Linked DNA regions of Mus musculus. The protein of the gene in region 2 binds, or shares a complex with, the protein of the main gene of each other region. Links are inferred from orthologs where the notes say so. Each region holds a gene or a part of one and is shown on either strand. Other genes may lie near its edges. The genes, in order: Cnot7, Cnot10 and Cnot8.

Region 1 (2,871 bases), on a different chromosome or scaffold from region 2:
TAATTAGAAAGTCTTTACCAAACAGGGAGGAGGGCTTCTCATTATCTGCATATACTCCTTTCCCCTAATCTTCCAGGTCTCTAACCTCTAGCCTCTCCCAGGACGTGTACAACTAAGGAAAAGCTGCGCAACAGTATAGTGTCTGGATACTCAAGTGAGGCTATTTTGGCCTTCTCCATCCTGCCTAAACGGGATGTAATCAGATAAAGACCAGCATGGAAAAATCCTTTTGCAAGGGAGTGCAGCTGAACACACCAAGACAGTGGAAATTGACTCAGGACAGTCACTCACAACAGCAGGATTACGGATGTGAGCTTCTACACCCAGAGACTTCTAATTTCTTTCAGTCAGGTAATTAACAAAGGGCAAGGAAAGGAATACAGTTGATACAAAGGGGTCAGAGTGCCAGGCTTTATGGCCCAGGCTCTGGGCTGGAGAACTGATTTATGGATCAGCTGGCCTTACTGCAACTTTGAACACTAATAAAAACTAAACCAATCTTTTGAGAACACACACACCACCTAGTGAAGTCCTGTTACCCAAAGAAAATGGCTCAAGTATTCAACACTTCTAAATAAGAGCCCCAAAACCAAAGCCATCAGTCACAACCATATAGGAAAACATTTTTGAAGCCTTTATTTACAAAAGCTTTAAAAACAAATAATACCCTCTGTTTTGCAAATAATGTTTAGTTTAAAAAGGACCGCCCAGGTACAGCATTTTCATATCATGTTTACAGAATGTACAAGGGAAACGAACTATGTTGCTAACAGTTGGAGACTTGCTAATATCGATTGAAGTGTAGATAACACACATTACAACTTGTAGTCCATCACTTCAGGGTAGAGTTAATGTTCACCAAAATCTTCCAACACATGCTCTGGTCTGGTCACATATTCTGCATGGCTAAATATTTCACAGTCTCTTGTCAATATATATAAAATAGATTGCAAAGATATACACAAAAAAATAAACAAGCATTACACTCCTCAGGTAATTTTATTAGCTATATATGTGTGTATTTATATATATTTTTTGCATTTTGTTGTTTTGCACCAAATCTCTCCATTATTTATTTTTGTAGCATTTATGAAATCACATTTATTTTGTATTTTTATTGATATAAAATGTACCTTAAGACTTGTTATCTTTGGACTTTAATGAAATTGATTTGTGTAGTTAACAAATCAAGAACATCATAAATATGTTTATAAAATAAAACAGTAAGGGTAAAAGTGATGGAGTAAAAGGAAGCCGATCAAGGGAGGCGGTGCTGTCATAAAACTGGAGCTCCAACATCTTAATGGCCAGCCTTCTGGCAGAGAGGAGATAGCCAATCACAGGGCTTCTTCCTGAAGGGTGTAAAGCTGGTTTGAAATTCTTCAGTCACATAGCAGCCTATGCATGCCAATTAGAAACCAACAGACATGAGATGTGCTTGGAAGGCTAAACACTACACACAGAAACAGTAGTTACTAGGCTCTTCAGTAGTTCCTTGTCTTTTTCTGTTATTCCTGTTGAACAATTTGCACAATGCACGTGCTGTACTCTGAATGTCAAAAACAAGCAAATACTGTAAAAAGGTGGTAGATGGTTATTTTTCTAGCTAAGAGCAAGAAAAATCACAATTTCTGATAAAATAGAGGATTGAAATCACTCTCTAAAGTGCAAACTTGATGGTCCACAATCTTAAATACCTATAAGTACTGCAGAATAGAAGGAGAGGCATGGAAGAGGGAAATAAATTACACTCAATGCTAGTTAATTTAGGAAAAGGGAAAAACAAAACCAAGCTCAAGTAGGCAAAGTTTATCAAATTATTCAGTAATGTAGCTTTGTCACACAAGCTTGATAAGAAGTGTATTAAATTAAGGCCAGATTTAACCTGAATGTACTTTAATTTATTAAGATCATAGCTAAGAAAGGCCATACTTATTACTGAAAGCAGAGAAGGTCTACAAAAGGGGGGGGGTATTGCCTATTATTTAAGGGATGATAAAACCTATATACAAGCATGTGTGTAACTCGTATAAAATAAAAATAAGAAGACTATTTCCTGTCATGACTGCTTGCTGGCTTCCTCTTCATATGCATTCCCTGTGCCGTTCTGTACATAGGATGAGCCAGAACCAAGGCCATATAAGTGACCACAGTATTTGGCATCATCAATGTGATCTTCAAAGAACATCTAAAAAGAAAATTTTGAAAGAAAAAAAAATCATCTTAAGCAAATGATACAACCTGTAGTTTACATCTCAACACTGTAATTGCTACTAACTCTTTCTGTGATGTTCCTTTGAGAAGCTATGCTGCATATTTAATAAATAAGACTGACTGATGCCCTTAACTACAGGCCTAAAGGACACGTTCTAAAAAGCAAAAATATTTTTCGTTAACATTTACCTCATTTTAATAAGAACTTATGAGCATAAAAAACATGGCAGACATTTTCATTTCTTTAACATAACAAACTTCACAGAATATGAGAAGTAATGTCGAGAAGGGGAGGAGACATTATACCATCTTAGGTTGTCTTAAGTCTAGGTGCAAGGGTGAACTGACTAAAATTAACAAAATCCTAAGCATGGTATAGACAGTAAACCTTAACACTCTCACTACATCACTGTCCTTGAAGAAGACAATAAAAAGGAAAATAAGGATAACAAACTGGTGCCAGAATTCCACCACTGACTAGCCATAAGACATTTTAAAATAAAAATCCAGCTAGGCAGTGGTGGTGCACGCCTTTAATCCCAGCACTCAGGAGGCAGAGGCAGGTGGATTTCTGAGTTCGAGGCCAGCCTGGTCTACAAACTGAGTTCCAGGACAGCCAAGACTAAACAGAGAAACCCTGTCTCAAAAAAACTAAAA
Region 2 (3,654 bases):
AAGTCAAGTACCCAGAGGCCATTTGCAAACTGAAGCCACTGCAGAGCCCACTTCTAGGGACTGAGAGTCGAGTGGCACACTAACGTGGCACACTTAGGAAACTCATAGATGAGCATAACCAGGGACCCATTTAAAATCACAGGTGCCACTCAAGACTACGCCTCTAAAGCCCAAGCCAGACCCTGTCTCTTTCTAGCCAGCACCACTGAAGCCCAGCTTCCTGAGGAAGCCCTCAGTCTCCCACCGTCCTGACCGCAGAGCCCCTTGGCTGCAGTGGGAAAATGCCCCAGCCACTGCCCATTGCAGACACTGCTCCCTTCCCAGCCTACAAGTCCCTCGGCTCCACCCCTCCTCTTCTGATAGGTCAAACTGTTCAACTCACTGTACTCCATCCGCCCCTCCCCAGCAGAGGGCCCAAAGGACAAGGATTGCATACAGTGTTCCTACTGTCAGATCAGACACACACAGACACACACACACACAGACACACAGACACACACACACACACACACACACACACACACACCACACACACCCCTACTGAACTTAAGGCCTATTTCACCAAATATTAACAGTACTAAATATTATGAAAATGAAATATTTGACAACACAAGGTTTAGGAGTGAAGCTGAGAGCATTCAACTGGAATCTAACATACCCTGTTGGGTTGAGAAATGTGAAACATGCAAACATTAATAAATGGAACATTTTACACACAGTTTACAAGGGTAAGTCAGATATTACTTTCTGTGAATGCCATCTCATAAGCTGCTAGGATACTACCTCATACAACAGACACTGGTCACACTTCTAAGTCCAGTGCCTGGAACTCACCTCGTTCTTCCCATTTTTGCCACCGCTACCCTGTGAAATCATTTTTTCTAGGACGGCAAGAAGATGCAGAGCTTTCTCAGCCTGGTGGGTTAATATATACAAGTCTACGAGCAAAAAGCACACCGCTTGGGCAAATTTTTCTTCTGGCAAAACAAACACACAAATAGGAAAAGTTACAGTCCAAGCTTGAGCATACATCTCTGCTTACCCACAAACAGGACACCACCCTGCAAAATGAAGCATGTCTTCCCCCAAGCAAAGGATGCCACTAAAGCCATGACTGAAAGCAGCACGCTATCCCTGGAACTCACTCTGTAGACCAGGCTGGCCTCGAATTCAGAAATCCGCCTGCCTCTGCCTCTCAAGTGCTGGGATTAAAGGCGAACGAATGCTTATTTTATGTGCATGAGTGTTATAAGTGTGCACAGATTCCTGTCTTCTACACACATATACACACATACTCAACTGTTCACCCATGAACTCACATAGAAAATGACCAAAATTCCTGCCTGTATACATGTGTATTCTTGATGCATGCTGAGACCAGAACAGGGCATTGGATCCCTTGAAACCATAGTTACAGACAGTTGTTGGCTGCCAAGTAGGGCTGGGAACCAAACTCAGATCCTCTACAAGAGAAAGTACTCCAAACCACTGAGCCACTGTCCAGCCCTCCTAATCTTTCATGTAAATTAAGGTATGAAAGGTCCCTAAGAGGAGAGTATTCAACAGCAAGGAAGAGACAAGAAGTTTTTGCACTACCCAACAGTTCATTTTCACCCTTCCTTCCCTTTGTCCCATCCTTCCTTTTTGATAGAGTCTCACGAAGCCCAGGCTGGCCTCAAACCTAGGCTGTATCAGAAGATGACCCCAAACATCTGGTCCTCCTGCCCGAGTCCAGGAGGCTAGGATTACAGGCATGTGACAGCATGTGGGGGACCTTTAAACACCAGGTGGGAAAGAGTGCTAAAGGAAAACTGGCCTTCTCTAGACTAAAAACAAATTTAGAATTGTGGAAACAGCTTTATTCTGTTGTTTTTGGTCATTTTCTATGTGTGTACAAAGGTGTGCAGTTGAGTATGTGTGTACGTGTGTGGAAGACGAGGAATCTCTGCTGTTGCTCCTTAGGCACTGTTTACTTTAGTTGTTCTATCTGCATGTATGTCTGTGCACGCCATGCATGCTGGCTGCCTGATGAAGCCAGAAGAAAGCATCAGATCTTGTCAGAGTGAGCAGCTCGCTGTGTGGGTGCTGGGAATTGAACTCATGCACTAGAGCAGCTGGTGCTCTTACCATCTCTCCAGTCCCTGACTCTAGTTGTCTGAGGCAGGCATCTCACTAGCCTGGAGCTCTCTAAGAAAGCCAGGCTATCTAGCCAGAATTCTCAACACACCCGCCTGTGCCCTCCCCATGGATTACAGCCATGTCCACAGGCCCAGCTATTCTCATGTGGACTCGGCACCGAATGCAGGCCCTCACACTCACAGGGCAAGCACTCTACTGAGTTATGTATTTCTCCCATTCTTTCTCCCCCTTTAAATGCTAACATATAGCTCAGATTTAGGTCATCTAGATAAAAGCAATAGAGAAATTTGCAAGAAAGAGAGGACATACCGAAAGGTTCTATGAACTGATAGAGCTTCTCGCCGACAGATATGGCCTCCGTGTACTGGCGCAGATGATAGAGAATGACAGCCTGGTTATAATACAGCATGCTGTTCTCAACATCGTCTAACCCATCCATCTCTTCAACAGCCGAGTGGACCTGAAACAATCCGGGCAGAATGCACTCTAACAACAGCAAGGAAACAAACAGCAAAAGGCAAAGAACTCAGCGAGGTGTGTGGCACACCCCCATAAGCTCAGCACCTAAAGCTGAGGCAGGAGAACTAACACAAGGTCATGGTCAGTTGAGGCTACACAGTGAGTTCCAGGCCAGCCTTTGAATAGCTGTGGGTGCAGATGTGTGCCACCATGCCCGGCTCCAACACATCTTATTTGATTTTCCTACACTGCCATAATACCTCTGTCAGGCTGGTGGCACACGTCCTTATCCCACCACTGGGAGGGAGGCAGAGAGAGATAGCAGATCCTTGAGTTCCAGGCCAGCCTACTCTACAGAGCGAGTTCAAGGACAGCAAGAGCGACAGAGAAACTGTCTGAAAAAAAAAAAAAAAAAACAAGGACAAAATAGTACCTTCAGGTTTTAATTAGTCCCCAAAGCTACATAGTGAGAATACAAATATTTATCTTATAAATGAGAGAGATTAGTCTTAATTATGTTGTCCAAAACCAGGGTATATTTAAGGGTCTAGTCTCATGGAATAACAATTCTGTTTTAAAAAATAGCAAGCAACAAAACCCAAGCGGCTGCATTGCAGTAGGTGGTTAGAATAAGCCTTTAAAAAGGATTTTGTTTTTATTTCCCGTGTGTGTGCCTGCAGGTATGCATGTACACCTCAAAGGCAAGAAGAGGGCATTGGATGCCCCAGAACTAGAGTTACAGATGCTTGTGAGCTACCACCCAGATGCTGGGAACCAGACCCAGGTCCTCTGGGAGAGCAGTAGCCAGTGCTTTGAACCACTGAGCATCTCTTCAGCACACGACGACAGGGTGGACCAGTGTCAGTCACATATGGAGCCCAGAGGACAGGCTTGTGTCACAAGTGCGTCTACCCTCTGAGCAATCTCACTGGCCCAATATTTTCATTTATTTTCTTTCCCCTGCCCACTTTTAGGTTGAATTATTTTATTTTGTGTATGACTGTTTCCCCTGCATGCATGTGTGTAGGGTACAAGCCTGCCTGCCAGATCCCACAT
Region 3 (3,654 bases), on a different chromosome or scaffold from region 2:
GGTATTTCACATCGTAAATGGACGGGAAGAAAAGATTCAGGATATGAAAGAACTCGTGTTCTTCTTCCGGCAGGCGAGAGTCTGTTAGCAGCTTTACCATGTAGCCAAAATCATAACCACTAAAGGAGGAATAAAGCAGATGTCTGAAAGCAGCCTCAGTCCAGCCTTAAACCACCACCTCAGGCTGGGGGCTGGGCCTCTCAAAGAGCACTGATGATCTCAGCTTTACATTCAGTGAGGAAATTTACATAAGGAAAGCTACGATGAGAAACACACAAGAACCTGAGAGTTTGTGTGAATTTGATTAATCAAAACTCAAAAGTAAAGCCGTAAGAGCCCAGGAGAAGGGTCACCTAAAGAGAAATTTTGAATCAGAGTTCCAATCCCAGCACCCAGGTCAGACAGCTCACAAATGCCTGTAAGTCTACCTGCAATGGCCCAGCATCCTCTTTTGGCTCCCTAGGTACTCACACACATACCTATACATACCACACACACACATACCCTTTAAAAATAAACACCTTCCAAAAAGTATTTAAAGAATATCTGTATTTGAGGACATTTCAAAGGACAAGCCACACCAGGCTGAAAATAACCGAGCCCACAGCAGCCTCCATCCACCTGGAAGACAGCACTGCACAGCCACTACAGCACTGCAGGTCAAGTGATGCAAAGCCCATGTGCGTGTTCACGTGCTCCCAAACACTACACAGGAACACCAACACCACCTCACTGCTGCTTCCAAAAAGCCAGGAGGACTCAAATCAACAAGAATTTAGTTCCTCCCCAGTGCAGCCTACAGTCAGAAGGGCGAAGCTATGCTGAAGAGACAGGCCACAGTTCCCGTGGACTGACCTGTGAAATGAAAGCCACTTGACGTTGTCACAGAGAACCACTCCCGATGTCATAAGCAGCTCTGCAAAGTGCAGTGTATCGATCCCTTCCTCCTCGTGTTTCTGGAACTGCAGCCCTGAGTTTGCAAGCAGATCTATGGAATCCTGGGAGTACATATCCTCTCTGAAAAACAAGGTGTCACTATGAGCTGGCGGCAGTGAGACCAAAGCAGGAGAGATGTTATGGTTAGCTTATGATTCGGAAACACAGAACTCCTGAAACACTCCAAAAACCAGCAGATTTGTATTTCCTAATTACAGAAAACCTATATTCTCTTGCTTAAAATTGTGTTTTATGTAAATGAATGAGTTAAACAATTGTGAGCCCAGCTCTGGGAATTGAGCTCAGATCTTTTGGAGGGGCAGCCGGTGTCCTAACCATTGAGCCACACATTTTTTTTATGCTGTTTTTCATCTTTTTTAAATATTTATTTATTTATGTATATGGATGTTTGTCTGTATATTTGCACACCAGAAGAGGGCATTCAGGCCCATCACAGACAGAGAGTGCCCACGTGGCTGCTGGGAACTGAACTCAGGAGCTCTGGAAGAACAACCTGGGCTTTTAACCACTGAACTATCATCTATGCGGCCTTTGGTTTTTTTAATTTTTAATCATATTTACACTTCTTTATATTATTTACAGTAGAATTTAACAAAACAAACTTGAGACAGAACTAACCCTGAAGTTTACTTATTACGGATGGTTGCGAGCCACCATGTGGTTGCTGGGATTTGAACTCAGGACCTTTGGAAGAGCAGTCGGCGCTCTTAACCACTGAGCCATCTCTCCAGCCCCTGAAGTTTATTTATAAAACAAACAAAAGGCAGGGCTGGAGATGAGGCTCAGCACTACGAGTTCTTGCTGCCGTGACAGAAGACCCAGGCTTAGCTCCCAACCATCCGTACTACCAGTCCCAGGGATCTGCTAACTGCTGTGGACACCAGGCACATACATGATGGACAGATATACATGCAGGCAAAACATTAATACACAAAATAACAGTTAAGGTCAGGCGTGGTGGCGCATGCCTTTAATCCCAGCACTCAGGAGACAGAGGCAGGAGGATTTCTGAATTCAAGGCCAGCCTGGTCTACAAAGTGAGTTCCAGGACAGCCAGGGCTACACAGAAAAATCCTGTCTCAAAAACAAAAAAACAAAACAAAACAAAAAAAAACAGTTAAAAATCTTGGGCTGGGGGCTGGAGAGCTGGCTCAGCGGTTAAAAGCACCGACTGCTTCCAGAGGTCCTGAGTTCAACTCCCAGCAACCACACGGTGGCTCAAAACCATCTGTACAGGGATTTGATGCCCTCTTCTGGTGTGTCTTAAGACAGCTACAGTGTACTCACATACATACATAAAAGATAAATAAATCTTTTAAAAAAAAGAAAAAAGAGCTGGGCGTGGTCGCACACGCCTTTAATCCCAGCACTTGGGAGGCAGAGGCAGGCAGATTTCTGAGACCGCCTGGTCTCTGGCCAGCCTGGTCTCCAGAGTGAGTTCCAGGACAGCCAGGACTACACCCTGTCTTGAAAAACCAAAAAAAAAAAAAAAAAAAAAAAAGATAGCAAGTTTCAGGACACTCAGAGCAACATAATAGAGAGAAACCATGTCTCCTCCCACCTCAATCCCAAAAACCACATGATTAGTAAAGCTTACAGCAACCAGCCCACTCAAACTCAGCTGTCTAGTAACACTGAGGGTCTCCCAAGACACTCACGTCAGGTTGAACTTGAAGTTGAACTGCCATGTGTTGATTCCAGACGGGTACTCCCCCTTCTCATTGGTGAACGTAAGGCCCAGCTGGATGATTTTAAGAAGATCAACATTGCACCGCAGAAGCTGATACTGGTAATCTATGGAGCTTCGAAATTCACCGATCGGCCGTACAACAACACCTGGGAACTCTGTGTCCTAGGAACAAAAGCCTCTTACCATTAAGCCTCAGCAAACAGTGGTGCTCAGCAACCCATGAGCAAAATTGCTCTTCAGTTTACAGAAGCCCAAGATAAGCTCCCAAGGTCTAGAACACAACAGAACCCAGACAGGTGAATGGGTGACTAGAGGGAGCTGCGCTCAGGTAGGAACGTCTTTTTTCACTTATTCATTTACTTCAAGTGCACTGGTGGCATGTGTGTCTGTAGGAGAGGGTCAAATCCCCTGGAAGTGGAGTTACAGACAGTTGTGAGCTATCATATGGGTGCTGTGAATTGAACCATGGTCCTCAGGAAGAACAAGTGCCCTCGACTGCTGAGCCATCTCTCTAGCCTTCAGATAGGACCTTCCAATATGAGTTAAATACAAATACAGCCAAGTAGATGGGGTGGCTCACAGGGGCTTCGCTCCATCCCATCAGCTTCTTGGTGTGACGTATACTTGAAAGAGAAGCCCGGCTCATGGCCTGCTGTTCAGAGCTCCCACCTTGGTCTAATGTTTTTATAAAGGACAAATGCAGCCTTCCTCTTTCCTGAGTGACTATTTCACTGCCGTGTGTACATAAAACCCTTTTATACCCTTGTAAAGCTCAGACTGGCCTATACTCATTGATCTTGAACTCCTGACCCCACACCCTCACCCCCAGTGTTTGGGATGACAGGATCTTAACCTGCTGGGAGAGCTTGTAAGGCTAGTGCCTCTTATGGACAGAGGAGTGAAAGCAGGGTTTGAATACAGACAGTGGCAAGCTCCAAGCCTGGAGTAAAACAGAGCACCTGCGTGCTCAGGGGCTGGCCTAAGAAGAGTGCCACCTAACCCGCCAT

The links.
Region 1: Cnot10 (region 2) and Cnot7 share a complex: the UniProt entries of both Homo sapiens proteins name them as parts of the CCR4-NOT complex. The link is inferred for Mus musculus from reciprocal best matches to the Homo sapiens genes CNOT10 and CNOT7.
Region 3: Cnot10 (region 2) and Cnot8 share a complex: the UniProt entries of both Homo sapiens proteins name them as parts of the CCR4-NOT complex. The link is inferred for Mus musculus from reciprocal best matches to the Homo sapiens genes CNOT10 and CNOT8.

What each region holds. Positions count from the first base shown.
Region 1 is NC_000074.6:40,491,928-40,494,798, forward strand, and holds the end of Cnot7 (CCR4-NOT transcription complex subunit 7), read right to left. Parts: intron 2,189-2,871; coding exon 2,060-2,188; 3' UTR 611-2,059; downstream 1-610. UniProt on the Homo sapiens protein: Has 3'-5' poly(A) exoribonuclease activity for synthetic poly(A) RNA substrate. Its function seems to be partially redundant with that of CNOT8.
Region 2 is NC_000075.6:114,626,559-114,630,212, forward strand, and holds part of Cnot10 (CCR4-NOT transcription complex subunit 10), read right to left. Parts: intron 2,600-3,654; coding exon 2,449-2,599; intron 978-2,448; coding exon 835-977; intron 1-834. UniProt on the Homo sapiens protein: Component of the CCR4-NOT complex which is one of the major cellular mRNA deadenylases and is linked to various cellular processes including bulk mRNA degradation, miRNA-mediated repression, translational repression during translational initiation and general transcription regulation.
Region 3 is NC_000077.6:58,110,415-58,114,068, reverse strand, and holds part of Cnot8 (CCR4-NOT transcription complex subunit 8), read right to left. Parts: intron 2,810-3,654; coding exon 2,616-2,809; intron 1,018-2,615; coding exon 856-1,017; intron 120-855; coding exon 1-119. UniProt on the Homo sapiens protein: Has 3'-5' poly(A) exoribonuclease activity for synthetic poly(A) RNA substrate. Its function seems to be partially redundant with that of CNOT7.